Linked DNA regions of Diceros bicornis minor. Each later gene encodes a partner of the first gene's protein in a complex. Links are inferred from orthologs where the notes say so. Each region holds a gene or a part of one and is shown on either strand. Other genes may lie near its edges.

Region 1 (15,223 bases):
TTTGTAAATGAAAAACTACATCCGCCGGAATACGGACCTTCCAGGCAGAAGGAAAGATTTAGGAAGCTACAGCATAATTTTTTTCACTTCAGTCTAATAAATAATTGTGAGTGCATACTATACTATACTAGGGGAAAATTGCTCATATAGAATCGTCTGGATTCCAGAGATCTATAAATAAAAATCAGGGATTATTTTGTTAGCATTAAGTGTTTAACCTCCAGAAATTAAATTCTAGGCTCTATTCCTAATTTATTTTTAAACATGTTCCAAATTCCTCTCTATCGTTATTTTTCCCTATTGCTTACAGAGATGGACCTACTATTTTAGGAAATCCTTAATAGTAGATATAGTGTTTTCAGAAGCGAAAAATGCTATGCATATATATAAGCAAAAATCTTCTCAGTGGTTGTATTAGTTTGCTAGAGCTGCCATAATAAAGTACCACAAACTGGGCGGACTAAAACAACAGAAATATATGGCTCACAGTTCTAGGGGCTGGAAGTCCAAAATCAAGGTGGCAGCAGGGCCATGCTCCCTCTGAAAGCTGTAGGAGAATCCTTCCTTGCTTCTTCCTAGCTTCTGGTGGTTTGCCAGCAATCTTTGGCATTCCTTGGCTTGTAGATGCATCATTCCAATTCTCTGTCTTTACATGGCATTCTCCCTGTGTCTCTGTCTTCACATGGCCATCTTCTTATAAGGTCACCAGTCATACTGGATTAGGGGCCCACTCTATTGAAGTATGACTTCATCTTAACTAATTATATCTACAATGACCCCGTTTCCAAATAAGGTCACATTCTGAGGTACTGGGTGTTAGGACTTCAACATATCATTGCAGGCGGACATAATTCAACCCATAACAGTGGTCTAGAGGCCCATGGTGAACTATGGAAAGGGAAGTTTTTTGTTTTTGTTTTTTTTCCCTTTTTCTCCCCAAAGCCCCAGTAGATAGTTGTATGTCATAGTTGCATATCCTGCTAGTTGCTGTATGTGGGACGCCGCCTCAGCATGGCCCGACAAGTGATGCGTTGGTGCGCGCCCAGGATCCAAACCCCGGCCGCCAGTAGCGGAGTGCGAGCACTTAACCGCTACGCCACGGGGCCGGCTCCTGGAAAGGAAAGTTTTCATTTGAAAATTATCTCTTTTAGCATCCTTTCAAAAGCCTTATATTGCTCTTTGGAGAAACTGAAACTTATTTTCATTTTATTCAAAATGACATTCACAGAATCTTGCTGTATCCACCAAGGTGAAATAAAATAAAGACAGCAATGTGACAAGCAGATGTATTTAATAAAGATACTTTTAAGTACTTATTTAATTGTATTTTATGGTACATTTTCCTGAAGTTTTTTGAAAGAATTAGAGTGAAAAATATTCACTCTTTGTCAAAATGAAACACTGACTTTTACTAACAATACCTATTGTTAGAATGAAAAAAGATAATGTAGGTAAACCATTTAACAGTTTGCAAGTACTCAATAGCTGTTAGCTGCTATTAATATATATTTAGCATTCTTAGGAGCACAGTGATGATTACAGAGGTTAACACACATGAAACACTTGTAACAGTGCCTGACACATAGTATGCACTCAAAAGATGTCTAGCTGCTACTGTCAACATCACCATCACTATATAAGATGATAAAGTGTCTGAAACTGCCAATGCTACTTCCAATTGGTTTATTCTTGCTCACACATGAAGTCAACATTTGCATATAGTTTCATTTGGTGGGGTTTCTTAAAATTTCGTTTAATCTATAGAATTCATCACTTATTTAGCAGGCAATTGTAAGTTATTTAAATTCAATTTCTTTTTTAATAAAGGAACTCCTTGATATTTATACCCACCCAAAGCATTTATTTTATTTACTAGTTACCAGGAAGATGACTTGAAAATAAGCTACTGAAATCATAATCGATGTGTTGTTTGAGGAAAATGTACTTCATTTACAAACATGGCGTTATTAATCCACAGCCAGTTTTTCCAGCAACAGAGCTGATTTGACACTGCCTCAGTCACACAATTTTTGTGATTAAAGCTGCAGATTTCCCAACCATAGAGATTTGGGGTTCAGTTGGTGGTCATGGAATAGAGTTCCATTTCATTCCATAGCTTTTCCCAAAGTCACTTCCCCATTTGAGGTCTGGTTATGGGCTGGTCTTAAATGCAAGTCACTAAAAAAGTCAGGATATTTTTTAAAGTACCTTTTCTAGCTGCAGACTCAAATCTACATTCAAAAGCACAAATATAAACTTAAAAAAAACAACGTTACCACAATAACAGCCATGTTCTAAAACAACAGTTCCATAAAGTTTCGAGTTTTTTTTTTTTCATAGTGATGAGTAGGAACTGGTGGTCCTTGGGTTTTTGCTTCAAAATGGTTTGTGGACTGAAAAAATTTGAGAACCACTGCTCTAACCAACCAAACTAAATTGATAGTTATAAAACAGGAATGTTTACCCTCTGAAGGAATACTTTATACTGCGATTTTTGGTTAATGTTAAAGCAGCCGTTTTTAATATGAGTTTGAAAATGAAGTTTTAATATATTATCTCCCTCTTATGAATTAGTGTTTATAAACAAGAACATTTAGTGGGTCTTTTCTGTTCTAGTAAAATGAAAACTGAAGGAAAACAGTAGCTTATTAAAGCTCCAAGAATGGCTTCTCAGTTCCTTGTCAAGTCTCAAAGCCCCATAATTTTTTTCCCTTCAAACAACTCAAACAAAATGACACCTCTAAGGATTAAACATTTTGGAAACCAATGAAAGAAAACATTAAAGCATGTCTGACACAGACCTCTTCTCCATACTTCCCCGTTCCTCCCATCCTCCCTACATGAGTATGAGTCAGGTAATGTTAACTTTGAATCATACATTTGTTGGTTTCTTTTGAGCATTGCATAAACAAAGTTTTGATCATAGCCTATGAGGCAACTGACCTGTAATCATTTGCATTTCAACATACGTGGCTTGAAAAACAGAACAGTAAGTTACCCTACATGCTCTTTTATTTGAATTCCACAGGAAGTTACTCACAGTATCATTTTTTGTGATACAAGAGTGCCCTAGAGAAATAGATCATACCATAATAAAATGCTCACACAACAAATGGAAAGAAGTAACTTTCAAGAGTGAAGTATTTGAACTACATTATGTATGCAGGAATACTCCTTTCTGAATAAAGCTGATAAAAATAGCTCCACTTATTGAGTGCTTCCTATGTGGCAGGCACTGTGCTTAATGCTTACAGACATTATTTGCATTTAATCATCCCCAAAATCCTACGCACGAGGTGGGTTTTATTATCCTTATTTCCAGATGAGGGAAACAAAGCTTATTCTGCGAATATTTATTGAGCAACTACTATGTGCCAGACCCTGTTCTAGGCCTTCAAGTTGAAGCTTAGAGATGTAGAGGAACCTGGAGTTTGGACACAGGCCTGTCTCTGCTCTTATCATGAGCCCACACTGCCTTGCTGGGAAGAATGTTAAACATTTCAAGTATTTGTATCGTAGAATGGCTTCCCCTTAGTTCCTTATAGATTTTATTAGCATCTTTCATCATGTGCAACTCTAGAATCATTGAACTTTCTATCTGGAGGGAAACCTAGAGAAGATCCTTACATTTTCCAAAATTTGAATTCTCTCAAATAAAATTTTCAAATAGATGTAGAAATTCCTGTTGTCTCTTAAGATGTGTGTCAATCAGGAAAATACTCTTAATAATTTTTATTTAGGAAATTTCAAAGAAAAAAATGGAATTCATACACGTGAAAGATATGTCACCATGCATTTTGTTTAATTATTGTCTTATGTGAGATAAAATTTAAGCCTAAGTTTTATCTCTTTGGAAAGAAATAGTTAAATAGTCTCTAGTGATTACTTTTTCTGTGAAAAATAAATATGCTTCAGATAATGTAAAGGGAAAAAACTTTTTCAGAGAGGTGATGATGATTACGCTTCATTTTCTATGGTGGTGACAAACCTATATGTAACAGAGCTGTGAATTTTGGATGTATGTGAGGTAGATTGTGCCATGAGCCATAGTTAGTCATCTTGTAACTTTTCCAGACTGATGTAACTCCATTTTTTGAACAAATGTTATTTTGTTAAGTAAATGCCCATTTAAACTTGTATACAAAGGTTATAATTATAGCAGGAAATTGTTGGGGACAGAGGAGGTTAAATCTGGTTGTCCTGTCATACATTAGGAATGATTTCTTGGAAATCTAGCCCAGATTTTCGACTGAGGTTTGCTGTCTCCCTTTGCTGTAGTTTCAAGTAATAACTTTCCAATATTTTGGTTCTGACTGAGAGATTTATGGGGGGGGGGGCATAGATTCAGTAGGTAACTGAATCAGCCCTTTGTGCTGATTTTGCACAGAGGAGCCCAAAAAGATAGCGGAATGTGAGGATATCACTGAACATTATAGGTCTTGTAGGAATACAGAAAAGGGTCAGTGTTAAAGGAAAGTTCTAAAGCAGGGCTGTCCTATAGAACTATAATGCCAATCTTGACAAATAAGCCACATATGTAAGTATACATTTTATAGTAGCCACATAAAAAAAGTAAAAAGAAACAGTTGAAATTAATTTTAACGAAATATTTTATTTAACTCAATATTCAAAATATCATTTCAACATGTAGTCAGTATAAAAATTATTAATGAGGGGAAGTGGTGGGGGGAAGGCAAAAGGGATAAAGGGGCACATACATATGGTGATGGATAAAAACTAGACTATTGGTGGTGAATACAATGCAGTCTATACAAAAACTGACATATAATAATGTACACATTAAATTTACACAATGTCATAAGCCAATATGACTGCAAAAAAATAATTTTTAAAAATTATTAATGAGATACTTTACGTTCTTTTTTTTGGTACTGTCTTTGAAATCTGGTGTGAACTTTACACTTATAGCACATCTCAATTGGGACCAGCCAACCTTATTTTAAGTGCTCAAGAGCCACATGTGGCTAGTGGCTACCATATTAGCCTGAATAACTACACTTCGAGTTTTCCTTTCTTAAACAGGAAAAAAAATTAATCCTGCTCAGGCAATATCAGCTTCTACGTTCAAATAACTTTTTTTGCTGCCACCTACAAGAAAAAATTGATTTTTTGATTTTCCCAAATTCTCCAGCCAGAGAGAGTGGTTGCACCACTCTTGGATTTAATAAAAGAAACGAAAAAAGTTTATTGTTAACCAAAAGAAAAAAAACTTGCTTTCTTTTCTTTTTGGGCAAAAGTAAGGAGAATAGCGTTTTTCTAAATCAAGTCACAAATACTTATCAAGTTGATCGTATATTCAAGACAGCTGTGCTAGTGGTTCTTTAGTCTATTATTAACAGTTCGTTTAATGCTTAATTCCGGCAGTGTGACCACTGTTCACATTAGTTTTACAGATCAATTAACTTTGTTTTAAAAGTTATTCCTCTAGTTCTCAAGGTAAAAAGAAATGAATAAAAGTTGATACTGAAATCAACTTTTCAGTATACAAACAATCTGATTTATTTTAAAAAGGTTAGTTCACTGAGTGGAGTAATTAGCGCTGGACAATGTTAAATACATAATAACCGTCTCTTTTCAGCTATGTATGTTTTTCCTAAAGCAAGAATGTTAATTGGAATAATTGATCACTGTTTGGGGGGCTAATTTACCTTAAACTAACCAAATTGACCAACTTCTTTTCGGTATAAGGAATGGAAACGTGGCTTTGCAATGTAAATGAAAGATAAATTAGGCACTTTGTACGTAAATGCAAAAAAACCCACAACTACTTGTCTTCAGACTTCTGCAAGCTGGTTTTACCCTCAGGAATTATAGAAACGGTGCTCGCAAATTAGCTGAGTTTGGGTCCAGATTGGATTCGCAGCACTTGAATCAAGCCTGTTGGGGGAGGTGACAAAATCGCGAGTTAAGTCCTCCCCACCCCCCACCCCACAGACCACGCTGAGCCTGCCCAGATGTTGCTCAACCCTGAGCTGTCCCCCTGAGTCCAAGGCTGCGGGAGAGGGCGCGCAGCGAGGATTTCCGGCCGCCTCCTCAGGTTCCCTAAACAGATGGAGCCTCTTCAGGAGGCCATGAGGCTCCCGGGCCTCGAGCCTGTGCCAAGGGGCGCGCCGGCGAAGGCCGCAGAAAAAGCCCAACACCTGCCTCTTTCCGGCCCAGCGAGAAACCTTGCACCGCCCGCGCAGACCTGGCCGGCTAGGTGTGGGGCTCTAATCGCATCCTCACACCTGCGTTAGGGAGGAAGGCGAGGGCTCTCCAGGTGTCTGCGTCCCGGAAGGACGAAAGGGAGCTGTTAAGAGGCGTGCACCAGGAGCGCAGCGGGGGACGCGCTGTGGTCGCCGGGCGTGGGAGGACCCGGACGCCTGGGCCGAAGCCTGAGGGGATGAAGGCACTGGCCGGCCTGGAGATTTTCCTTTACTTTTTTCCTTTTCCTTGTAGGGCTGTTAGCCACTGGCTGTAGTAGCTTTCCACTCAGACCGGCGACTTTTACACAGTTCTGCCCTGGCGCACTGAGCTCGCCACGACACCTGGCGCTGGGAACACGGGGTAGAACCCCCCCCGGGACCCACTCCAGACGCCCAGGCCTCTCCCCACAAGCTCTCTTCGTCCTCTTGGGCTCCGTCGCCGTCTGGGGATTGGGTTTCCTTAACCCAGGGCTTCCCTATCTTGGGCAGGAGGAGGAGTTAGAACCCCTCCCTCTCTCCCCCTCCTCCACCCATCGCCAACCCGATTTTTAATCTAATCTTTTATTTAAAGTCAACAGAGGAGCAGGAACCCCGGGCTCCTGCCAACAAGATATTTTTAAATAATTCCCCAACCTCTGCTGAGAGAGGCAGCCTTAAGGAACCTCCTTGTTTTCTCTTTCGTCAAGATTTAGGCAGCAGGGAGTGGGGGTGGCTTCGAGGGTCAAGGCTGAAGCCCGAGGGCTCTGCGGACTTGAGGGAGGGGGCGACTCCTGCAAGACGAATGAATTCCAAATATTAAAAATATAATACGAGAGCGTCAATTTGGAGAGTCTTGAATCAAACCGAGAGCCGAACCCCCAGAGGGCTCCAGGGCACGAAGCCTTCCGTGTCCCTGTCGTGGGGCGTGTGGAGAGGGGGCAGGTGAATGCCCAGCTTGTGACCCTGAAGAGGGCGTGTCCTGGGCCATGACGGGATGTGCCTATAGACTCCGCGCGCCTATACGCACTCACGGAGGGCTCAGGCGGAAAAGACACCCACGCCCCCTCTCGGGGTCCTTGGCACCAAACCGCGCCCCCCGCGCCTCGCCCATCTCTTTCCCCAGCTGGGCGGGGACCACTGTTCTCTACATCCTCAAGGAGCTTCCGACCTACTGGGTCCCGTGGCACTTAAAGGCTCCCAGCCTTTCTCCCCTCCTGCCTGTCCCCTCTTTTTTCCCCCGCCTCCCGCCGACGCCCCCAGATCTCTCGGACTCGCCCTTCCTGAAAGTAGGCGAGGCCCAGAAGCTGAGGCTGGGGCGAGGAAGGAAGGAGGAGCGCAGCGCGGCGGCCGGGGGCGTGTCTTCCCAAGCCCCGCCCCCGGGTGCGCGCGGCGGTGGTGGCGGCTGCCGAGCCTCGCTCTGAGAGACAGGTATCGCTTAGGCGCCATGTTGTGAGCGGAAGTGGGGGAGCGCGCGGCGGCCGCAGTTCTGCTGGGAGCGGGCGCGGGAACCGGCGGGGCGGGGGGCGGAGCTGTAGTCCCGGCGGCGGAAGGAGGAGAGGAAGAAAGGGGCGAGACCCGGTGCCCGGCAGCGGCGCGAGGCTCTCGCTCGGCGCGCGGACGTCTCCAGCCGGGCACGCGGCATTCGAGGGTCGGTGTCGGCGCCGAGCCCTCTCCCGGGCAGCCGCCGCTGCTGCCGTGGGGCTCGGGCGGCGACGGAGCGGGGCTGGCCGCGGGGCGGGCGGGGAGGGAGGAGGCGGTGAAGGCGGCGGGCCGGGGGGGAAGATGCCGCTGGCGCAGCTGGCGGACCCGTGGCAGAAGATGGCTGTGGAGAGCCCGTCCGACAGCGCTGAGGTGAGTGCAGCCGGGCGGCCGGGGCTGGCTCGTACCCTCCCTCCCCTCCCCTCGCCCCCGCCGGCTCGCTCCCCACCCGGGAGTCGGACACTCGGCCCCTTCCTCAGCCGCTCGCGTCTCGCCTCGGTCTGGGATTCCGGTTTGGGTAGTTGGGGTTGGTCTCTCTGCCCTTCTGTTCCTCCCACCCGCACCCACACCTCCCCTCCCTCGCTCGGGGGGCTGTGGGGTGGTGGCGCGTGGGGTTTGGAGTGGGCGCTGGGGCTTTGGAAGAAGCCGATTTTAATCAGCTTCGCGTGGGGGGAGCGGGAGGCGGAGCGGGGGCCGGCGAGGAGTTGGGAAGTTTGGCCCTGCCGGGTTGGGGGCTTCCCTGGCCCCGGGTGACTTTGGGCGATGAGGGAGGGGTAGGGATTGGGTTCACCGGGGAGCAGGGACTCTCGAGTCCGGCCGGGGGAGGGGGTTGCTGCGGGGACACGGGCGCGCGGGGGCAGGGACGGCGACCTGTGGGGGTTTCGGGTAGGGAGTGCAGGACAGCCCAGGGGTTTTGCCTCCCCCCATCTGCCGCAGCGGTTTCTGCTGCTGCAAAGGAGAAAGTGGAAGCCTGAGGTCCCCCCCCCCCGCGTTTCTGAGGTCGCTGAGCTCGAGGACCCGGCCCCCGCGAGTTTAACTTGAGTTTCCTGTCCATGGAGGTGAGAGGGTGATATTCAAGGAGACCAGCGGCCGCCGTAAAGGGCTGTCGGGTTTTCCTCGCCCGGGATCTGGTGACCGTCCCTGAGACACCCTCCCGAGTGCTAAAAAACCCAAACAATATACCCAAACAGGGCAAAACAGAATTTCCCCGGACACCCCACGGCACTGAGCTTTTCGCAGTCGCCCCTGTCCCGGAACCAACTCGGGGTCTGCGAAAATAATCCAGACAAGACCCATTCCAGGGCATCAGCGCTCCTCTCCGGAGTGGAAAATCAATTCCTGATGGTGGCGCGTCTGTGATTCTTCCTTCTTGACTTTTTTGCTGTCTTCTATCCCCACAGCGGACTTTGGGGGATTACAGGATGATAGGCTGCGTGTGTGTAATAGTTACTGAGTGAGTGACCCCATTTCTGGAAAGCATGACTGAAACGCGGGGGTGGAATGGGGCAGGCTCTGATGAGTGGTGTACTTGGCGGCCGCCGCTGCCCTGCCGGCCTCCGCAGTGTGAGAGGTGGATAGGGTTACTGGTTACGTCAGTACGACCGAGGCTCAGTTTGATCTGAGATGCGGGACACTTGCATTCTCCAGCATATAATGAAGGGGGAGGGGGATCCGTTCTAATCGCTTTTCAGTGTTTTCCTAGTCACCTCCACTGCTGTATAAAATGTTTACTTGCTCTCCCTAACGCAAGCAGAGTTGTAATAGTGCTTACGATTGGTGCTTAGTATTTTGCGACTTAGATCGTATTTTTAAAACCTAAACGCTGCTCTTGAATAAGAAAGACATTGATATATGTTACCTAAAATTTTTTTAAAGGGAATCATGTTTTTAAGACTGGCAGGATTACGAGAATTTCATTTAAAATTGTGTTAGCCAGTCTAATACTATAAATCTTTTATAAGAAAATCAAATTTAGAATGTTTAATCATCCTTCGAATGGTTAGTGTGAAAAGTAGTATGCCAGGGGGCTCTTTTCATTCATTTTTTTTCCTTCAGAAATTTTTTTTTGCGTTAAATAATATAGCTACAAGGTTGATAAAATATGTTCTCAAAGTGCTGACCTTGTGGAAAGAAATTGAATTTGCTTTGAGCCTGATTTTTAGATGCAAACCTTAACATTTGCAACTCATAATCAGTTCACATTTCTGCTTGGCACGTATCAATGTGAAAAAAAAATCGTTTAAAATTCCACCTTGTCCTTTTCTATGTAGCGTACATTTGGATAAGGAAGGCACAAAACTGGTATTTACTTAGCACTTATTATATGCCAGATACCGTGCTACATCCTATTTCATTTTCTTTCCTTGACCCAACAGAATAGGATTACGGTCCCTATTGTTACAGATTAAGAAACTGAATCTCAGAAGTTAAAGGCCCAAAGATTATAAATAGTAGATGGCAGAGCCATAATTCAAAGCCAGGTGGATATAATTCATGTCCTTTGCTTTATATTAGGGTAGCTGCTTCAGATCCTTTGTGGAAAAATTCAGGGTATAAATAAATAAGCCAGTAGTTAGAGGTCATGTGTTTTTCAGAAACAATTATGGTATTACAAGAGGTCTCATTTGTTAAAGTACTTATTTCGGTTACTGTCATGGTTTCCAGAACTTGGCAGATAGGATTCCGCAATTTGCCATGTTCAAAGAATTTTCTTGATATTCTGGCATGAGGTATGTCAAACAGCCAGTGTTGCCTAGATTTATTAAAACTAGATTTTAACAAATTGCCTTTAGATATTTTGTTGCCTTTGGTTGTTCAGCTGTTTCAAGTAAATTGCTTCTGATAGAAATTTGGAAATATTGAGACCAGTAAGGAAAAGGTTGAGAGTTTTCTTTCAAAAGTCTAATATTGGGCTTAATATTATGCCATCTCCTCCCCAGTAGGTTCTTATCAGAGAATAATTGTATTTTACCAGAGTAAAATCAGTTTTTTAAGATAGTCATTTACTTGAGTAAATACATCAAAAGTTTTCTCTCCAGGCTAGAAGATGTCAAGGTTGGTCTCTATAGGAATGTACATTTATGGTCTCACCCCTAGTAGACTGTGAACTCTTGAAAGCAGAGACTTTTTTTCTCTGTATCCTCAGCACTTAACACAGTGCCTGGCACATACATATTATGGACCCAATGGATGACTGCTGAGTGAATTATGAAGGTCAGGAATAGGGTGATTATCAATCTTATCTCTGTTCCTATCATTTTAACCTTACATTGAAATAGGAACAATCTTAAAAGACCTGAGTACCTCACCAAAAGTACAGACAGTTTCTTCATTCCTTTATATGGCCTTCCTGCTCTAAGATCTCACGTGAGTCGCATGGTGCTCGAAACAGAAAAACCCTTGTGGTGGAATTCAAACATGGGTCAGAACATGATAGGCTAGAACTAGGCCAAAGGTTTCAAGAAGCAAATTTAGGATAATAAAAGAAGTACTATGTAAGCAAAGTCAAGATTGGTACAAGATTAAAAACAAAATAGCTTCGTAAATAGTCCAGGTGAATTCAGAACTCTTTAATGAGTTATTTAAAGATGCTAGTATGTTTCTGAATATTTGACTGTTGAGATGGATATCAAGGAATTGTGGCTATTCTGTTCTACAAATTCCTTGCTACTACTGTCAAGGACAGCATTTACTGGATCATAAGCCTGACCTAAAGTGACACTTTTTTCTCAGTTTCAATAGAGTAAGGATAGTAAACCTAAAATTGAACAATTTCCAAAAGTAATAAAATTAAGGAGGTTATTTTGCTTTATAGAAATGTGTTGTATAAAAATAGCCACCTTGAATTCCTTTAAATAACAAATACTCATAATGCGTTGAAAAATAACTATATAAATATTTTCTTTCTAAAAAATGAGACCCTTGTATTGGAAGCCATCTTCAGTAGATGCATGGCCATCTTTAACCTCAAAGATTATACTGGATTCTATAGTAGTTCTACTATATTAGGTTTCTTATGTTTCATCTATAGGGAAAAACATTCTGTTAAAGTATGATTATTGATTGTGAAAAAAATGTTTTATTAAGTTTTTTTTCCTTTTACTGTTTCATTTTTACCACCTTTCAGGTTTTTTTCTTTCCCCCAAGTGAAGATCTGAGGAGAGGACAGGTATTGTTACATGTCAACTGTCAAGTAACTGTGACACATTACTGAACACTTCGTTGTTTTCAGTGATTATGATATAGAATGCCAGTTTTTGTTAAACAGAAATTTAGGAAAGTTTGCTTTGTTTTGGCAACTTGATGCTGTACTGATGGGGTTGATCCAAAATGTGAAACTTCTTTGGTACATCTAAATTTTAAAATAAAGAGCTAAACTTATCTAATTAAAGAAATAAGTATAGGCAGACTTTGTCTTTTCTTTAGTATGTTTCTGGAAATCACAACGAGTATATCCTATTTTTATATAAGGAGTGTGGCATAATTGGGATGTGCACGCTTGACCAAGGACATGATATTCAGTCAATTATAGAATGATCAAAAATATAGTAGGTCATTTATCAAAAGTCTGAATTGCAGAAGAATTGTGCTGAAGATTTTTTAAAAATTTATCATCCACTAAAAAATTCATACCATTGTGGTCATTGAAAAGATTTGCTCTAGAGTTCTGTGCTCAGGGACATATGATCTGCCAGGCTATGAATGATGGGTGACGTCAGGTGGCCCAATTTGCCCAGTGCAGACTGGATGTTTTAGAGCCAGTGGTTCAGATTACAATGTACAACAGTGACATCTTGGTGATCTCTTGGTAATGCATGAGTGTGATAGTGCTCAGTTGTTTATATGTTTTGGTGGATAACAAGTTTTGAAGCACTGGGATACAATTGTGCAAATATGTATATGACACATCCCATTCCCCAGTTCACATAATAGAAAAAACAAGCAACTGCATTTTAATACTTGGCATTAGATGCCCCCTTTCAGAGTTGATACAGTTCCCTGTGTCATTAATCTGGAACAATTACCAGATCTCAGATAATCCGGTTTATCAATTTAATTCCAAATAGCATGAAAGCAAAGATAAAACAACTATAAATCTTAATTGTTAAGTAAAATGTGTCAAGTTAACAAAACGAGCACAAATATACTATACAGTCATGTGTCGCTTAACAATGGGGATACATTCTGAGAAATGCGTCGTTGTGTGATTTCGTGGTTGTGTGAACATCATAGAGTGTACTTACACAAACCTAAATGCTATAGCCTACTACACACCTAGGCTCTATGGTACTAATTTTATGGGACCAGCGTCGTACATGCAGTTTGTCATTGACCAAAACGTCGTTATGCAGGCATGACTGTATACATTTTATAAAACAGATTCAGGATAAAATGTATCCATATAGAATGTAACTATCATTTAACACATTTGACCTATTTTAAGCAAATACTTTAGTTACTAACAATTAAATATTTCATTTTTACTTATCTCCTTATCATTTAGAAGGCACTTTGTGGGATAACTTGGATGTATGGCAAAGTGTTAAAGAACATAAGCTCTGGAGTTATGAAGACCTGGGTTTGAGTCCTGGCTCTGCCACTTAATAACTTTGTAATCTTATGCAAGTTATTTAATGTCTCTATGCTTCAACATCCTAATCTGTAAAATAGGGATGAAAATAATGTCTACCTCGTGGGGTTGTGGTGAGAGCTAAATGAAATGATAATATATGTAAAGCACTTGGTTCAGCACATGGTTTAAGTATTTACTAAATAATAGTTATAGTGAATCATCTCTCTAACAGAACTGTCTGAGGAAGTTCTGTGTTTTTCCTCTGGGGTAATTTTTTCAGAATCAAGCAGAACAATTAAAAATGATTTGTTTGATCTGTTTAAACAGAACCATTATAATATCTGAATATAATAGGAGTAAGATGAACAGAAATCTCTTGAATCTTGTCCTTTTTTTGTATTGTTCCCCTCTTCAGTATTGCGTTTAAAGGGGGAAAACAGATAAAGAACATTTTGAAGAATATGTGTCGAAGAAGGAAGAAAGGAAAGTACGTTCACATTTCAACATTGCTCAAATTGGAAGGCGTCTCACAATCCGTGGCATGTTGTTGTTTAATTAGCAGTGGGTTTTTTCCTCAGTAATATTTAAGATAATAGTGTATCTTACACATAATGGTGTCTTATAATCGATGAACTATGGTACATCCTGTATGTCAACTTCATGAAAGAAGTGTGTCCCTGAAGAAATGGATAAAGTCAATGTATAGAGTCAATAAGTAGAATTTTAACTTACTTTCTAAAACATACCAAAACAAAATGTGCACAGCTTTTTATATTTTAAGATCAGTTCTGTTAATTTCATTTTTAGGGACGGAACTTAATATGGCACACCTCCTTGCCCAGTATTCTAAACACATTTGTTTTGGTTATTTGAGTATGCCATGAGTAACTGGGTTTTCCTGTTTAGAAATATAATCCTTGGATTTGGTCTGTTATGTGGTATTGGTACTTAAGGAACTTTAAATGGTACCTACAGTATTTTTAACTGAGAAGTCTCTGGGAATGTTAAAGGTGTATCTGTGCCCAAGCAACCATCTCCCCCCTCCAAAAAACACAAAGGAGCATGGCATGATCAAGTAAATTTGGGAATTGTGGAGTTAAACAAGATTTGACCAATTTCTTTACTGCATAACTTCTTAGAACTTTCAAGATGTTGATGTACATGATGAATCTGCAAAAAGGATATAGCCCACAGCAGTTGAGACTTGATGTCAGAACCCGTTTTTCGTGAACCATCTATTAAAGTCTCACAGGACACAAGTGCCTTGCAGAACACAGTTTTGGAAAGTCTGATAAGTACAGTAACATGATCCAGTGTTGCCTGGAAATGAGCTGTTATGTTTGTATCAAAGCTTTTTTCTTTAACTGTCAAGACTTTTTGTTGCATTTTGCATTGAAATCTTTCTAAATTAAATTGTATAGCAATTTTCCATCTTAATAGTGGACTAAAAATTTAAATATAATTTACATAAAAGTTTAAAATAATTTAAACTTTTTATTCAATGTTCTGAAAATTGATGGTCATATTCTACCTTATTATCAAGCTAATTGCCCCTCCTAATTGGCCTCTACATTTACTTCCTCTGTAACTTATGTCTAATATTCATAGTTTTTAAAAACTCTCTTATATCATTTGCTGCTTTATGCTACTGTCAATCTGCCTACCTCTCCCATTCTCCTTTTTAAATTAGTTGCTTCTGACTTGCAGTTACTGGAAAACAGGTAGCTAAGGTTAATGATATTTTGATGCAGCCATTTTTAGCTTGGGATCATTGTTACTTCATCTTAAAAAAGCAATTTACACTTACAGCTTACCAAATAATGTAAAATAGCACCCTCACCCTTTTTCTGATCTCTGCCCATCATATACACATACCTCTGGGGTCAGGGGTATTTGATGGACATATTACCTACTAATAAACAGCGGTTTTTATGCTTCAACATACCATAACAGAATGGCTCAATTACTGACATTACCTACTCTGCAT
Region 2 (15,390 bases), on another chromosome or scaffold:
TTTATACCATACACAAAAATTAGCCAAAAATGGAGCATGGGCCTAAATGTGAGAGCTAAAACTATAAAACTCAGAAGAAAATATATGAGTAAATCTTTGTGACCTTAGGTTAAGTAATGGTTTCTTAGATATGACACCAAAAGCATAAGGGACATAAGAAAGAATAGACAAATTGAACTACATCAAAATTAAAAACTTTTGTGCTTCAAATGACATCATCAGCACAAGAAGTAAAAAGACAATTTATAGAATAGGAGAAAATATTTGCAAATCATATATCTGATAAGGGACTAGGATCCAAAATATGTAAAGAATTCTTACAACTCTACAATAAAAAGACATCTAACCCAATTTAAAAATGGGCAAAGGATTTGGATAGACCATTCTCCAAGGAAGATATACAAATGGCCAATAAGCCCATGAAAAAATACTTAACAGCATTAGCCATTAGGTAAATGCAAATCAAACCCACAATGATTCTTCAAAAGATTGAACATAAAGTTCCCTCCCCATTTGACCCGGCAATTCCACTCCTAGATATATACTCAAAAGAATGGAAAACAGGTATTCAAACAAAAACTTGTGCATGAATGTTCATAGCAGCACTATTCATAATAGCCAAAAGGTGGAAACAAGCCAAATGTCCATCAACTGATGAACAGATAAACAAAATGTGATATATCCATATAATGGAGTATTATTCAGCCATAAATAGGAACAAAGTACTGATTCATACTACAACATGGATGAATCTTGAAAAGATTATGTTAAGCGAAAGAAGACAGTTACAAAAGACAACATAGTATATGATTCCATTTATATGAAATGCCCAAAAGAGGCAAATCTACAGAGACAAAGTAGAGAGGGCTGGCCTCTCTGGTTAAGTTCCATGCACTCCGCTTTGGAGGCCTGGGTTCATGGGTTCAGATCCTAGGCACAGACCTACATCACTCATCAGCCACACTGTGGTGGCGACCCACATACAAAATAGAGGAAGATGGGCACAGATGTTAGCTCAGGACTAATCTTCCTCAAGCCAAAAAGAAAAAAAAAAAAGAAAGTAGATTAGTGGTTACTTGGGCTGGGAGGGGTTGGGGGAAATGAAAATTACTGCTAATGGGTATGAGATTTCTTTTTGGAGTGACGAAAATGTTCTAAAATTGTGATGATGGTTATATAACTGCAAATATTTTAAAAATTGTTAGATTGTACACCTTGGGTGACTTTTACAGTAGGTGAATTATATCTCAATAAAGACTATAATGGCAGGCAGTGGGAAGGCAAGCGGGGGATGTGTCTTACGTCTCATGGCCTCCCTACCACTCCTAATACAGTGTGGGGCACATTGTACGTGCTCAATAATTACTTCAGGTAAAGGAAGTAGTTTCTTTTCAGAGAAGTCATGAGGATTTCAGTCACACCTATTGGGCATGTGTAGAAATAGGAAGAGACCCCACTGACAAAGAACCAAAAGAGATCAAATGAAACAAAGTCCCCAAAACATAAGAGTAAATTATTTTTTTAAATCACATTTCAAAGATAATGACACAAACTTTAAGTACCAAAGAAATGGAATACACAAGCTCTCTGCCTACAGGGCATGTTTGAGCAATAAACATTTAAACAAAAACTTCCTTCCTGCAGACAAGGAAACTGGTAAACTCCAGGAATGCTTTCCGAGGAACTACATTCTAAACCCAAAGCCATATCAAGATTCTTTTTTTCTCCTCCCTTCTGAGAGCTTGCCTAGTCCAAAGGCACAGTGAAGGTCATAGTCTATGACCCTGTCTTAGAGCTGATGTAAGCTGGGGAAGTAGTTTCTCCCTAAAGTCAATAAGAATTTACACCAGGGGCCTATCCAGAGGTCAGTTTTGTATATTTTATACCCTCATTGTGAGAGGTGTCAGGATTGAAAAAATGATTCTACTCTGAAGCATTTCAGAATTTTTGATATTTTTCTCCAGTTGTGAAATTCAGGATTGGGGCTGCTGTTTAGTTTCTTTGTCACACGTTTACATAGCCTCGGATGATGCTTGGGAGTCCATGAAAGCTAGAATAGGATCCATAACCTGGTCTGGTCTGGGGGAAGAGTTCAGAGTCCTTAGGGTCCCCCTCATTCCTTAGAGGTTATTACACCCAGAACAGGCTTCATGACCCTGAAGCCTTAGAAAAGAGCCCGAAATGGCCCTATCCTCACCCAGTTTCACATTGCGGTTTGACATTTTTTTAAACCAAGTAAACCAGTATTGGTAATTTAAGGCTGGGCTTGTCCTAAAAGAACAACTTGATTTTTATTCAAATCACTGATTCAGGTGCCCTAACCTCTGCCAAAGAGTAAGTCAGTTTACTGGTGCAAAGAGCATCTGAGAGCTGGAGGAGACCCACGTCATGGTCACTGGTTTAGCATAGCTCTTTCTCTGGGTGAAGAGACATTGATAACTCCATTCACGAGCCATTTAAAAGATTCAGACTCAGGCCGCCCCGTGCCGTAGCGGTTAAGTGCACGAGCTCCGCTGCTGGCGGCTCAGGTTGGGATCCCGGGCGTGCACCAACACACCACTTGTCAGGCCATGCTGTGGCGGTGTACCACATAAAGTAGAGGAAGACGGGCACGGATGTTAGCCCAGGGCCAGTCTTCCTCAGCAAAAGGAGGGGGATTGGCATGGATGTTAGCTCTGAACTGATCTTCCTCACCAAAAAAAAAACAAAGAAAAGGTTCAGACTCAAGTGAACTTTTTCCAAATGGGGACGATAACGTTAACAAAAGCAGCCTCTCCACACAGGATGACTTCCACTAAAATGTCGAGCATTTCATGAGCCAATAAAAGGGCTGACTGTTGTTGCTGTGGCCCAAAGTGAGGCCAGAGACAGGTGGCAAATGCAGGAGGAGAGCAGGGTTTGAGAGATTAAGGAGATAAAGAAAGAATGCTGCATGGGGCAGCGGGAGAAGGAAGTTGGCAGAGAGGGAAAGGAAGTCCAGGATGGACAGACAGTAGAGGAACTACAGGGGCGAAGATCTATGCTCAGTTCCAGAAGATTCCATAGCCATGTAGGGAGGGAAAGAAAGCCCAGGGCAGTGTCTGCCACTCTAGTGGGCTCCAGACACCACACCAGACACATCCTGGCTGTGTTGGCAGGCTCTTCAGCACCTTCCTCTCGCTGGCCCACCTGACAGCTGGGCATGGCCTGGACATGCAGGCACTCTTCGTTGAAAGGTGGATGCAGGGTAATGGTGGCTGCCTGGGACTTGTCTCCTGCATCCAAGAAGACTTTTTCTCTGAGCCCATGGGATCTTTGATTGGTCCTTGGCTGGGAAAGCCCCTTCAGCCTGACCTCCCCTCCCTCACCTGGCAGCGTTCAGAAAAGGGATGAGGGGCCCCTGTTGGTCCTGTACAAATCCCATCCAAGCGACAGACCACAGTCCCTTGTTCAGTCATGCGTGTTAGCCTAAACCCACAGGGCCAGGGCAGGGCTAGAAGATAAGGCAGTGTGCTCAACGTAGGCAAGGATAGAAGTAGGAACTGAAAATGTGCCCCAGAGCTGATGCTGGGCCACTGGACCGCTTCCTGCGGGTGATGCAATCACTTCTGCCGCAGGTGGTGGTGACGGTGGGAGTGTTTGCAACTGAGAGAGGCTGGAATTTACCTCGCTAGGCTGCCTCAGGCCTGGCCTTCCTGTTCTGAGGGCACAGAGGACAGTGTGTTATTGATGGGGGAAGGGGAGTGAATTCTGCCTGTGAGGAGAAACTGGGTGTGCCTTTAAGGCAGTAGATGTAAGGCATGTGAGCACTGGCTTTCAAGCCAGAAAGACGTGGCCTCCAATCATCTTTCTGTTGCTGTTTTGCCTGTCTTTGGGGAAGTGACCTTAGTTTCCTTGAGTGTAAAATGGCACTGATGGCGATAGCTCCCTCTTGGGGTTGTTTAGGATTAAATGAGATGCCTTTTGTCACGTGTCTGGCATTCAGTAGGTGCTCAGTAGGTGGGAGTTGTTTTGATTAGAGCCCAGGGACCTCAGGCCGGATGGGGACAAGAGGCTGATGTTGCCCCAGAGTCCTAACTCCTGCCTGCCAGCCTGTTTACTCAAGTTATGCCACATCTGAATCTGTAGGGGCAAGGACATAAATGTGAGGGTTGGAAGATCACCTGTTGATGGCGGAGCTGGGAACTAAACCCAGGTCTCCTGATATCTAGCCTAGAGCCCTTTCTACTTGATCTGATGACAGGTGGGCTTTGGGAACAGGAAAGAAGCGGGGCATCAGACATTTCCAGGATGCCTCTGTTCGAGGAACAGCAAGACCGCTTCCGGGGAGGCTCAGCCTCTCTGGGAAGGCTGTTTACCCTCAGTTCTCTAGTTGCAGCTCTTCCCGCCACACCCTCCTCCCGTCCCCAGTTTCTCTTTGAGCTTGGGTATAGGTGTGCATATGAAGGTTCATGTTTGGGAAGAAAGGGTGTGGATATGCTCAAGGATCCCCCCAGGGATTGTATCTGCACCTCCAGCCCTTGGTATGGAGCCTAGCACACGGCAGGTGCTCAGGATGACCTCACACCTGGGTGACTGAGCCCCTCCCTCATTGCCAGAGAGTGACCCCCTCCCACTCCAGGACAGTGGGGGTTAAGGATGTGGCTGGAAAACAGCTGATCCAACTCACCTTCTCAGAGGAGCACAGATTCAAAACCTGGGAGACTCTATGCCCAGAAGGGACCAGTCCCCAGTTCTTCCAGGTGGCAGTTTTCCTTGATAGCAATTGATCATTCTCCGGCCTCACCTGGAAATTTCTGAGATTTCCTTACTAATGCCAAAGAGAAGTATGTATTGATGTACTAATGTACCTTTGCCCAGGAAAGAGGCCGCATCCTGGGGAAAGTGGAGTAAAAGGAAGAGTATTTTGATTGGATTTCTTCATTCCTTGGCAGAATACAGCCAACTTCTCTTCCAAGGGCTGGGCATGCTGAGCTCTGGGTTGGGCAGGAGGTGGGGGAGAGAGATGCTGAGGACACTGCCCTAAGGACCATGCTTGTAGTTTTTCTGTAAATCTATGTCCACAAACTTAGAGAGTTCCATCATGTGCCAAGCCTGAAGAAGAGGGGTGGTCTGAGGGTACCAAAGGGTTGACACATCACCTTTGCCTTTGAGGGGGAGGCCCTGCTGGTGAGAAGAAACTCAGGCAAGGCCAGCTATCCCTAGCAGCAAACACAACGTAGACAGGACGTTTCTGGAAAATCCTCCCCTGCAGCTTTTTTCCCACTCGCCAACCAGAACTATTCATATTTTTAAAATGTGGAAATGTACACTTATTCAGTCATTCAGCAAATATTTATTGAGTGTTCCCCCAAACAAAACCGAATATGTGCTGAATGTCATAATTCGTGGGATCCTGGACCACACCTTATCTTTCAGGTTGCACTGGGCTTTACCATGGTAGCCTCAGTCTCTGCATTTCCCTATGCACGCAGGTCTCTGAATTCCCAAATGTTTTCTCTTCAGTACCTGCTTTTTCTGAGTCCCACTGAACCAGTGATTGGCAAGTAGTGAATTCATCGACTGGGAAATCAAGTCTCTCCACTTGCTTACCCAATTAGCAGAAGCCCATCTGTCTGTTCTGGTATATTTTCTCTCTCTCCCCCCTCTCTCTGTGTCTCTCTCTCTGTGTGTGTGTGTCTCTCTCTCTCTCTCTCTCACACACACACACACACACACACACACATTCTGTAACACAGAAGACAGGGACTATTCCTTTGCAGACAGATGGAATAATGCATGGAGAGATAAATTCACTCTGTTAGAGCAAGTCCAGTGAGGGAAGGATACCAAGCCTTCCAGGTTCCTGGTCTTTCTTATGTACACAATCCCTCCTGGAGGGATTTAAGAGGCAAGGGGCTCCCCTACCAAGACCCCCACCTTACCCATAAATCAGTTTCCAATCTAACCCCTCCCTGGGGGTTGAGTTACAAACCTCAGTAACCCCGGGGCAGCCTGCCTGGTAATTCCTATTATTCAGCTGTCAGCTGGTTTTTTAAAAACCTCCCTTCCCAGTGATCCAGTTACCGGAGTTTCAGAGCCCGTTCCTTGTCTCAGGGAGAAATCCTATAGCCAGGTGAAACAATGGAGAGGGCTCCTGCTTTCTAGAGGGAGCTTGGGTTTTCTCTTCTGTTGAAAGCAGCCTCCCCTTAACTCTTTGCATCCCTCCCAGATTGCAGGGCAAGGTCTGCAGGCCTCTTTCAGGCTCCCACACTCATGCCTTTCAGAGCAACTTTCCTTTCTCTGGGCAAAGTTTTGCCTCCTTCTAGAGCCAGCACCAGCCAGCAGAGGAGAAAACAAATTGGGGCAAGGGGTGGGAAGAGAAAGAAAGAAGAGATTCTCCAAAATAAAGGTTGCTGCGGCTGCAATGTGCTCCGAGCCCAGTCAAAAGCCCAGGGTTCATCTGTTCGTAGGGTGCTGCTGTTGGTCGGAGGCTCCAAACCCCAATCTCCAGCCCAGGGGGTCCTGACACTGCTGAGTCTGCCCTGTGCCAGAAGGAGAGAAAGGGCCCAGAGGGAGGAGTCTGCTTTGACAGCGATGAGAGGTGGAGAGTGAGGCTCCTGACCTCCCTGACCCCTTTATCCCTGACAGTCTCTTCTGGTCCCTCCAGCTCAGAAGGCTGGGCCCTGCTGCTTGACCTTAGAGGCTGAGAGCGCAGGAGGCCAAGCCACCGGTGTCCTTCAGAACCAGCCTGAGGGAGCAGGCTGGGAAGGCCTGGGAGAGAGGTCTTAGAAGAAACGTCACTAGAGGGTGTGACCCTTCCCCCATCTTGCAAACTGGCCAGACCCACTAAGATGATCCCCTCTGCTCCCCCGCCCCATTCCTCTAACTGATGACTTTTAACCCTTTATAGGGAAAACTGTTGCAAGCTATGGAGCTACCCCCCGCCAAACAAATGTTTGTGTGAACCCACAAAAAATTTAGCCAGTTTCAGGGGTTCACAGACCCTAAAGCTGAGGAGACCCTGGTGAGTCTGGTGAATACGTGGATCCCAGGTAAAAATCTTGCTCTACCACCTTCCTTGCCTTGTGGACCCAATTCCACCCTGCAGGGCTGTGATGAAGCAGACAGGGCTTTAGCAGCTCCGGTGGGTCAGCAGAATTAGGATGACCCCTGTCCCCTGGGGCCTGTGCTGCCCCACAGGACAGATTCAGAGCTGCTTTGCCCATCAGTTCTACTCTTGATCCTAATGATGCTCATAGGCCCCACGGGCCAGCCTGAGACACCGGCAGAGGAGGAAAGCCAATAAGAAGAGACGGATGGGGCCGGCCCTGTGGCATAGCAGTTAAGTGCGTGTGCTCTGCTGCTAGCAAAAAGAGGAGGATTGGCATGGATGTTAGCTCAGGGCTGATCTTCCTCACAAAAAAAAAGAAAAGAAGAAGAGAAGGATGGAAGGAAGGAGGGGAAGGAGGTCTGTGCGTGGTGAACATGGTGAAGGCTCCTCTGTGCCCTACACAGAGGCTGGGCTTAGTCTCCTTATCTCCCCATGTATGGCATGAGTGCAAGGTCACCCCAACCAGCTCTGACACTCCCTCTTGGCCAAGCCTCCCGGTAAAATAATATACTTCCTTTTGGCTTTGGCAGCTCTTTCTAGACATCCATCGACTCCTGGGGGGACTCGGCTGCTGGCGACCCTTGACTCTCCCTTCTTTCCCTTTTCCCTCTTCTCCATCCTTTGGGGACAGTATTTTCTTATTTGAGCAACCACAGTCCTCAATATGCCTGGTTCACTCTCCTTCAGGCACCTTTTGCAAGAGCTATGGAAAGAATGGGTAGGGAAAAGGTTCAAGGAGACTTCAGGCTCCTCTGGGCTAAGGGTCCCAGCTCCCTTAGCTTAAATCTGAGTTTATGACCCAGAGACAGCAGCTTGGTGGTCAGAGCACTGCCAGTCCCCACATCTGCTCGGGAGTCAGGGCCCATCAACGCTCACCTAGTCTGTTGCAGGCACTGGCTCCCTCTCACTGATTTCTGGCATTTTTATTTATCTTTCCTAAAATTCAGGCTTGGTCAAGTCACTCCTCTTCTATAAAATCTTTGTTCCTCTTTGCCTCCAGAATAAAGTACAGATTGCCCAGCCTGGCATCCCAGAGACACCTCTGTTTCTGACCTGACCCTACCTGTCCATGCCCACCCTCCCTGAATCCTGGTGTGCACCTGATGATCCCGTCCCCCAGCCTGCCCCTGCTACCAGGACAGGTTTTCCAGTTTAACAGTTTAATCTTCTACCCCCAGGCCTGGACTGTTTTATCTGGTTTTCCTTCTTGAAAAATTTCCCCATCCTTCAAGTCCCAACTCAAAAGCCATCTCCCAGTGTTTGCATTCTGAATTTTTCTGCGTCTCCCAGCAGTTATTATCCCTGGAATTAACACATTTTGTGCTGCTTTCCATCAATTTCAGTCTACCTCTCCAAGCAGACTGTCAGCTCCCTGAGTGCAGGCACCAGGTTTCTGGCACCTAGCCCAGTACCTGACACAATGTGGGCGTTCAATAAATGTTTGTGAAACAGCCCTTGATAGTACGCAATCGGCAGGACACGTTGCTCTCCTGGCAGCACCAGCACCATCTCTGGATGCTGCCATAAACAGGATGCGTGTCAACCGCCCAAGTAGCCCCTGCATTCTTGATCTCGCCTCTCCTCAGCTAGACGCTTCTTTTCTGAGCGTCCAAGCCCAGTCAAGAAGAGGATATGAGGGTCCCTTTGGACGTGTTTGATCTGAATGTCACTCACTAACAGCGCCAGATACACGTGTTCTCACGCTTCCTACAGCTTTGGGGCTGGAGTTCTCTTCTGACCCGCTCGGCAGGCGGGAGGGTGTTTTGCCACCAGGTCGGAATCCACAGGGACACGCACCTTGCATCCACTGGATGCCGCCAGCCTCGTCTAAAAGGCTCGCCGCCTCCTCTTCCCCTCCCTTTCTGGACGCGCGTAATTATTCAGTCTATTCCCGAGAAAGACAAGACAAAAGTCTCTTTGGCGCCCCCTCTCTCCATCCTAATAGAGAGGACTCAGGGACTCTCCAGCGCTTGCCGAGCCTGCGTTAGGAATCTGCGCGGGCGACGGCGCTCCAATTGCGTTTCTGGAGGGGGTAGGAATTTTGCTCGGCCCCTTGCAATGTTTCCAAAGGAAGGTTCGTACATTCGTGACCGTCCCTGGCAGCCGCCCAGCCCGGGACTTGGGGCTCCACTTGCCATTGGCCAGCCGTCGGCGTGACGCGCCGGAGGCGGGGCCTCATCAGCTGTTTGCGGGATGCCCCGAGCGGGCGTATTTTGGAAACAATACCGCGCGGTACAGAGTGGCCTCCTCCCGCGCCGGCCCGCCCGCTGCCGCCGGCGCCCCGGTCCGCGCCTCCCGCCTTCTGCCGCAGCCGGGTGAGCGCCCGGGCGGCAGAGGGCCGGGCGGAGTTGGATCGCACCTCCTCGGGGAAGTGGGGAGAAGAGTCGCGCTGCGTCTGGGGGCCCGGGAAGGGTTGGGCTGCGGGCTTCTGGGGTGACCATGAAGGACTGGGGCGCTGGGGTGCGGGAATGGGGTGCAGAACCCACATCTGGGTGCGTTGTTCCACGAGGGAACTTGGGGGTTCTAGCATTTGAGACTCCGAGGCGTTGGGTCCAGGTGGGCAGGGTAACCTGCGGTGCACTGTTGAGCAGACCTGGGCGCCCAAGAACGGCCCGGCCTCTGGGTCTGCCTTTGGGGTAGGGCAGGGAGTTGTGGGCTGTGCTGCCTCCCTGCAGAGTCTGAAGGCGCCTCTCCTTAACAGCTGGGCTTTTTCCCTCCTTCCCAATTGAGTCTGGGCGCCAAGCCCCCAAGTGCTCGTCACGCTGGACCCTGGCGCGGAGCCCTGGCATCACGACTCGGAGGCCGAGACTCTCTCCTGGAGTCACCCAGGTCTGCTGTGTGTTGTGTGAGTGCGTGTGTATGTGTGCGTTCCCAGATTTTAGTCGCTGCCAAGGTTCAGAGTGTCTGGCTACTGCCTTCTCCTGGGAGGAGGAGTCGAAGTTCAGCATCCCTGTTAGAGCCCTCAGGGGCTGGGAAGGCTCCAGCGGGCTTTAGTTCCCCTTGCTAGGAATAAAGCCTTCCCTGGCAGTGTTCTTAGGAAGTGCCCTTCTCCCACCAGTTTTGATATCAGCTTTTCAGCTCAGGGGAAGGAGGGGGAGAGGGTCTCTTGACTGTATCCCAGCTTACACTTGACCTTGCCCAGCACCCCTCCGGAGGCACCCACCTACAGAAGAGCCACCTGCAGTTCCTGTGGAGAGTGGGAAGGGTCCCCTGGGCTTGCAGAGCCACACCCTCTGGCTGCACCTCCCCCACCGTCCAGCCAAACAAGGGTTGAACTTTGGGGCTTTGCTGGGAGGGGGAGGGGGAGGTGACGGGCTTCAAAGGAAAAACCAAGACAATGACTCCTGCTTGTGATTGGCTTTGGAGGGCCCCTTCTTAGGTTGGGATTGCCAGCTTACAGAGAGGAGGTTGAAGGGCAGGAGGGGAGCCCCTGCCAGTTGACTGGCAGGACAGCACTTGGTCCTTTCAGTGGGAAACTTTGTTTCCTGGTGCTGATAAACTGGAGTTCTCCCACCCACCTTTGGGAAACACTATCCAAAGAACACCGTGTGCCTGTTTTGCCATCCAAGTGGGCATCTCCTCACTCTCCAGGGAAGAGGGCAGAGATAGGACCATCGATAGCTCAGGGACTGGATGGGATGGAGGGAGGGTTGAAGCAAGTAGAGAAATGGCATTTGGGAAAGGCAGGATTTCTGAATTTAACGGAGATTGGTTTAAGTACTTTACCAACCCACAGACCATTTGGCTTGTTCTTCAAAGGCAAGAGACTGGGAGACAGAATTCCCAGGGCATCTCTAATTGAATCTGGCAGTGACAAAACATTGCCTCTCTATATCCTTAACCACTCGTTGCTGCTTCTGGCTGCCCCAGGGGCCCTAAGGGGTTCCTGGTGTGTGTGTAGGGGGCTGGGTTGGGAGCTCAAGTTGCTGGGTAGTTCCAAGCTCAGACTTCCAAGACCATCAGGTGGAGCAAGAGGAACTTCTTTATCACCAAGAAACTCGTATCAACAACCTAATAGTCTATGCTGGGAGTGAGGTCACAGAGAGAGGGCTGAATTTCACTTCCTTCTGTGAGTCAGGTTGTACCAATCTCAGGTTGGGCGCTGGCAGGAATGGTAGGCTGTGGGGAAAGATTTGAAGTCTGGAGACTCGTGAGTAGACTGAGCTGGGGGAGGCTGACTACTTTGCTGGACCTGCCCTTGAGTCCAGGCTGTGGTGGGCAGACAGCTCTACTCTGCTGAGAGGGTGGCTGCAATGACGAACTTAGGTCTTTTTCCCCTGTCTCTCCAAGGACACACTCTTACCACACCTCCAGCCTGTTTGTTGTCTTGAGCAAGCAGGAGGTGGAGACGAGAGTAGATGAGCAGCTGGGCGGGGCTTAGCAGGTTTGGAGGGAACCTGGCTGCTCTAGGATTGCTGGCTTTTGTTTTTGCTGCTGAGCCTGGAGCTCAGCTCAGACCGAGATGAGAGCTTGGTGGTTACTGCTCAGGGCAGTGTGTGTGTGTGTGTGTGTGTGTGTTGTGAGCACTGTGTGTACAGCCAGTCACAGCACCCTTCTGCCCTCCCACAGTCACTCACAGAGGCTTGTCTTGTCCACATTTCCCCAGCTACCCTTCGTATCTGTAGCAGCTGATCCTGCCCCTGCTGTTGCTCAGTCAATAGCAGCCAAACTTCATGACTGGGACTGGTCTGGGACAGAAGAAGAGGCTGAGGGGAGGGTTGGCTCTGGGTGGGCGCAGGGAAGAGGTATGGAGAGTCCCTGAACAGTGAGGCAGTCCACATCTGGGGGCGGGTGTCACTCTTGGCAGTGCTTGTCTGTCATCAGTACCTGGCCCCACTTCCCAAGATAAGAAAGGAGAGCAGGAAAGAAGGAAAAGGAGGGGATTCCTTCCAGGTCTGGTGTGAGTGGAGGCAGCATGCCCGATGCCTGCATTGTGCCCTGACAGGGGACATGGAGCCGCCTCAGTGTGTAGAGGAGCTGGAGGATGATGTGTTCCAGCCAGAGGATGGGGAGCCGGGGACCCAGCCCAGGAGCTTGCTCTCTGCTGACCTGTTTGCCCAGAGCCAGCTGGACTGCCCCCTCAGCCGTCTGCAGATCTTCCCTCTCACCCACTGCTGTGGCCCCGGGCTTCGACCCACCAGCCAGGAAGACAAGGCCACCCAGACCCTCAGTCCCGCCTCCCCGAGCCAGGGTGTCATGCTGCCTTGTGGGGTGACTGAGGAACCCCAGCGACTCTTTTATGGTGAGTGCTCTTTGCCTCAGGACTCCTCCCATAGAGACTGGGGGAAAAGAGGGGACTTTCCCTCCCCAAACCTGCCCCTTGCTATTTCCTTCCCTAAATTGAGCAAGCAGGGGTATTGAGTCCTTAACTCTCACCCTTCTGCCTCTCTGCTTGTTATTGCCCCTCACCTGTGCTCCTTGGGCCCCAAGAAGAGCCAGTTGCCCTGCCATTGTTTCTGCCCCTTTGTCCCTTCCTGGAGGGATCCTTGGGTCTCCCTGGTGTCTCCTTAGGTTGGAGGGAGGGTACCTGGGCCTTGGCTTTTACACCTGTGGCCCATTGAGTGGCCCAGCCTTTTGTGTCCTGGTAGTGATGTGCCTTCCATAAAGTGGCTAACGTTGCCCTGAAGAAGGTTAGGGGATCTATGACTCGCTGTTGACACTGGAGGGAAAAACCCAGCCTATTCTGGGAGGGAAGGTTCCTGAAGGCAGAAGGTGGCCCCCAATTGTCACTTGGGACTTTCTGTGCTTGGAAGGGGAACTGGAGAAAGAGGTTTGGCCTGCCTGGGCTCAACGCCAGCAGAGGGGCTGTTTCCAAGGCTCAGTCAGACAAGACCCCTTCATTTGTGGGCTTAAATGGTTTGTTTTATGAGCAGTATGCCCTCCTCTGGCAAAAGGGCAGGGTTAGACACTCAGTCTCTTTTCTTCTTTTAGCACAATAGCTGCTGGAGGGAGGGGAAGGTTCGGAGGCTATCTTGCTGTGTCTGACGGAGCAGATTGAGGAGATGCTGCGGTTATTCTTAGAGGGAGCGACTCCATAGGGCGATTCTGGCAAAGCAGTTCTGGTGGATGAGGCAGGCAGGCAGTGAAGAGGGACAGGAGGGAGCAGGCAGTGGGCGCCCCTAGCGGCAGCTGGATTGCCAGCTCTGGGTAAGTGAGGAGCCCGGGGCTGCCTCCAGAGAGGAACTTGGCTATTCTGTGGGTCTGAGGAGTTTTCTCTCCCTAATTTTTGTGCCACTGTCTAGAGCTTCAGGACCTGAGACCAGCCTTCTTCTGCTGCTCTAAAAAGTGAAGACCCTTTTTGGTTTTCTCTTTCTCTGTGCCTTGCTTTGCTCAACCCAGGAACTCTGGAGAGCTGCCTCCAGTGCTTTTCCAAAGAGGAGCTTCAACCCTACTACATGAATAATAAATTGTGGTCAATGTAGCTTGGTAGATAAGGACAGAAGGTTGGCACGTTCGCCTGTACATATTACCTTTGCCGTGGTTCTGCCAGTGACTGGAGAACTGAAGGGAAGGCTGGGACCATTCACTTCTGTTCTCCCAGCATCAACTTTTATATGCTTGGGCAGCAGGCAAGTCAGACTGTCCAGATTTGGCAGAGTGCCCTGATAAAGGCAGGCTAAGTTCCTCTCCTTTATCATACTAACGTTTACCCTCAGCCCAGGTCTTGGCCAGGAGTTGCAGGCATGGGGAGGATGGGGCACTCGTGGAGAATGCTGAGATGTGGGCCCTCTGTCTTTGCAGGCAATGCTGGCTACCGGCTCCCTCTCCCTGCCAGTTTCCCTGCAGGCTTGCCCCTTGGTGAGCAGCCCCCTGAAGGGCAGTGGCAACATCGAGCAGAGGTACAGATTGCCCGAAAGCTTCAGTGCATTGCAGACCAGTTCCATCGGCTTCATATGCAGCAAGTAGGCATGGGGCCTTCGGGGGTGGTGAGTCTGCTGGGGCTGGGAGGCCTGGGCCTGCCTCAGCCTCAGTCTCCACCTGGAGGATTAGGTCCTAGAGTTTGGGACTGATGCTGTTGTGATTCCTGTGGACTGGATGAGCCCGACTGGATGAGCACTCTTGCCCTGATCGCTGAGCTTCAAGTTGGTTATCTGCCCGCTCAGCTCAGGCTCCGTAAGAGCAGGGTGTCGGGATGCTGCAGTCCCTCCCAGGGAGTGGGGTGGCTTTCTGCAGCCTTGCTTGACAAACTGTCTCTTCTTGAGGCCTGGGTTGGGAGATTGTCCCACACAGACCTCAGGGGAAGATTTTCAGGGTGCTGCAGTGTAATTGGACAGTTGGGGTGCCTGGCTGAGGTGCAGTGGGAAACGGGTAACCAAGGCTGGGATGGGCCTGACTGGGGGAAAGTGGTGGAACCGGTTGTAACCCGACACTTTGCAGCTGGGGAGGCTGCTCCTCATTGTCTGTGTCTGGGAACTGGGGCCTGGGACTCGGGAGAGTGTACCTCAGAGAGTCTCTCCAGACCATCGGCCGGGCGCGCGGCCGGGTGCTTGGCCGGCAGCCTGGCACCAGCCCCGCCAGGGCGGAGCATCGCGTGTCAGTCGAGCATGTGGCAGAGTCCATCAACAAAGGCGGCGGCTGGCAGGCTCGTGCTGGAGGAGCCCTCCGTGCCACGGGCTGGAGGCTGCCCTGCTCTGCAGCCGCTGTCTGGGCCGGGCCCCAGGCACTTAACCCTTCCTCACTGGGCTGGCTTTCTGGACGGCTGCCAAGGCAGGGAGAGGAGCCCGAGGCTGGAACCGTGCTAATACAACCACTGCTGAAGCAAAGGCATGCCACCTGAATTGAACACGGTCCTTACCTCTGGAACAGTGTCCCTGGCCCACCGGGCTGTGTGTGTGTGTATTTGTCTGTGTGTGTGTCTAGTGTGTCTGTCTGTGTGTATGTCAGGAAATCAAGAGAATAAATAATTCAGGGGCCAGCTCCATGGCGTAGCGGTTAAGTGCGTGCGCTCCGCTGCTGGCAGCGCAGGTTCGGATCCCAGGCGCGCACCGACGCACGGACGCACAGCTTGTCAGGCCATGCTGTGGCGGCGTCCCACATAAAGTGGAGGAAGATGCGCACGGATGTTAGCCCAGGGCCAGTCTTCCTCAGCAGAAAGAGGATGATTGGCGTGGATGTTAGCTCAGGGCTGATCTTCCTCACGAAAAAAAAAAAAAGAATAAATAATTCACCATGATTGGTCAGACCCTGAGGTTAGATGGGTAACTTCAGGTGGTCAGAGGAGAGCTATTGGTAGTAGAAGGTTTGACTTAAGGGTCAAACCGTTGCCAGCACCAGGGGGAAGAGGAATTGACTTTGGAGTTCCTGAGAACAGGCCATCA

Evidence for each region.
Region 2: the proteins of RPS6KA3 (region 1) and BMF are in contact, whole or in part, in a crystal structure (PDB 8R58), measured with the Homo sapiens proteins. The link is inferred for Diceros bicornis minor from reciprocal best matches to the Homo sapiens genes RPS6KA3 and BMF. Residues at the interface, in NP_004577.1 of Homo sapiens: Trp252, Phe259, Phe268, Leu281, Ala283, Lys284, Leu285, Gly286, Met287, Pro288, Leu299, Arg300, Phe303, Lys304, Arg305, Asn306, Asn309; in NP_001003940.1 of Homo sapiens: Glu8, Leu10, Glu11, Asp12, Asp13, Val14, Phe15, Gln16, Pro17.

The regions. Positions count from the first base shown.
Region 1 is NC_080781.1:16,897,971-16,913,193, reverse strand, and holds the start of RPS6KA3 (ribosomal protein S6 kinase alpha-3), read left to right. Parts: upstream 1-7,720; 5' UTR 7,721-7,967; coding exon 7,968-8,036; intron 8,037-15,223. UniProt on the Homo sapiens protein: Serine/threonine-protein kinase that acts downstream of ERK (MAPK1/ERK2 and MAPK3/ERK1) signaling and mediates mitogenic and stress-induced activation of the transcription factors CREB1, ETV1/ER81 and NR4A1/NUR77, regulates translation through RPS6 and EIF4B phosphorylation, and mediates cellular proliferation, survival, and differentiation by modulating mTOR signaling and repressing pro-apoptotic function of BAD and DAPK1.
Region 2 is NC_080744.1:38,019,347-38,034,736, reverse strand, and holds the start of BMF (bcl-2-modifying factor), read left to right. Parts: upstream 1-9,313; 5' UTR 9,314-9,387; intron 9,388-9,394; exon of another isoform or gene 9,395-9,773; 5' UTR 9,774-9,901; intron 9,902-12,017; 5' UTR 12,018-12,022; coding exon 12,023-12,314; intron 12,315-13,813; coding exon 13,814-13,974; intron 13,975-15,390. UniProt on the Homo sapiens protein: May play a role in apoptosis. Isoform 1 seems to be the main initiator.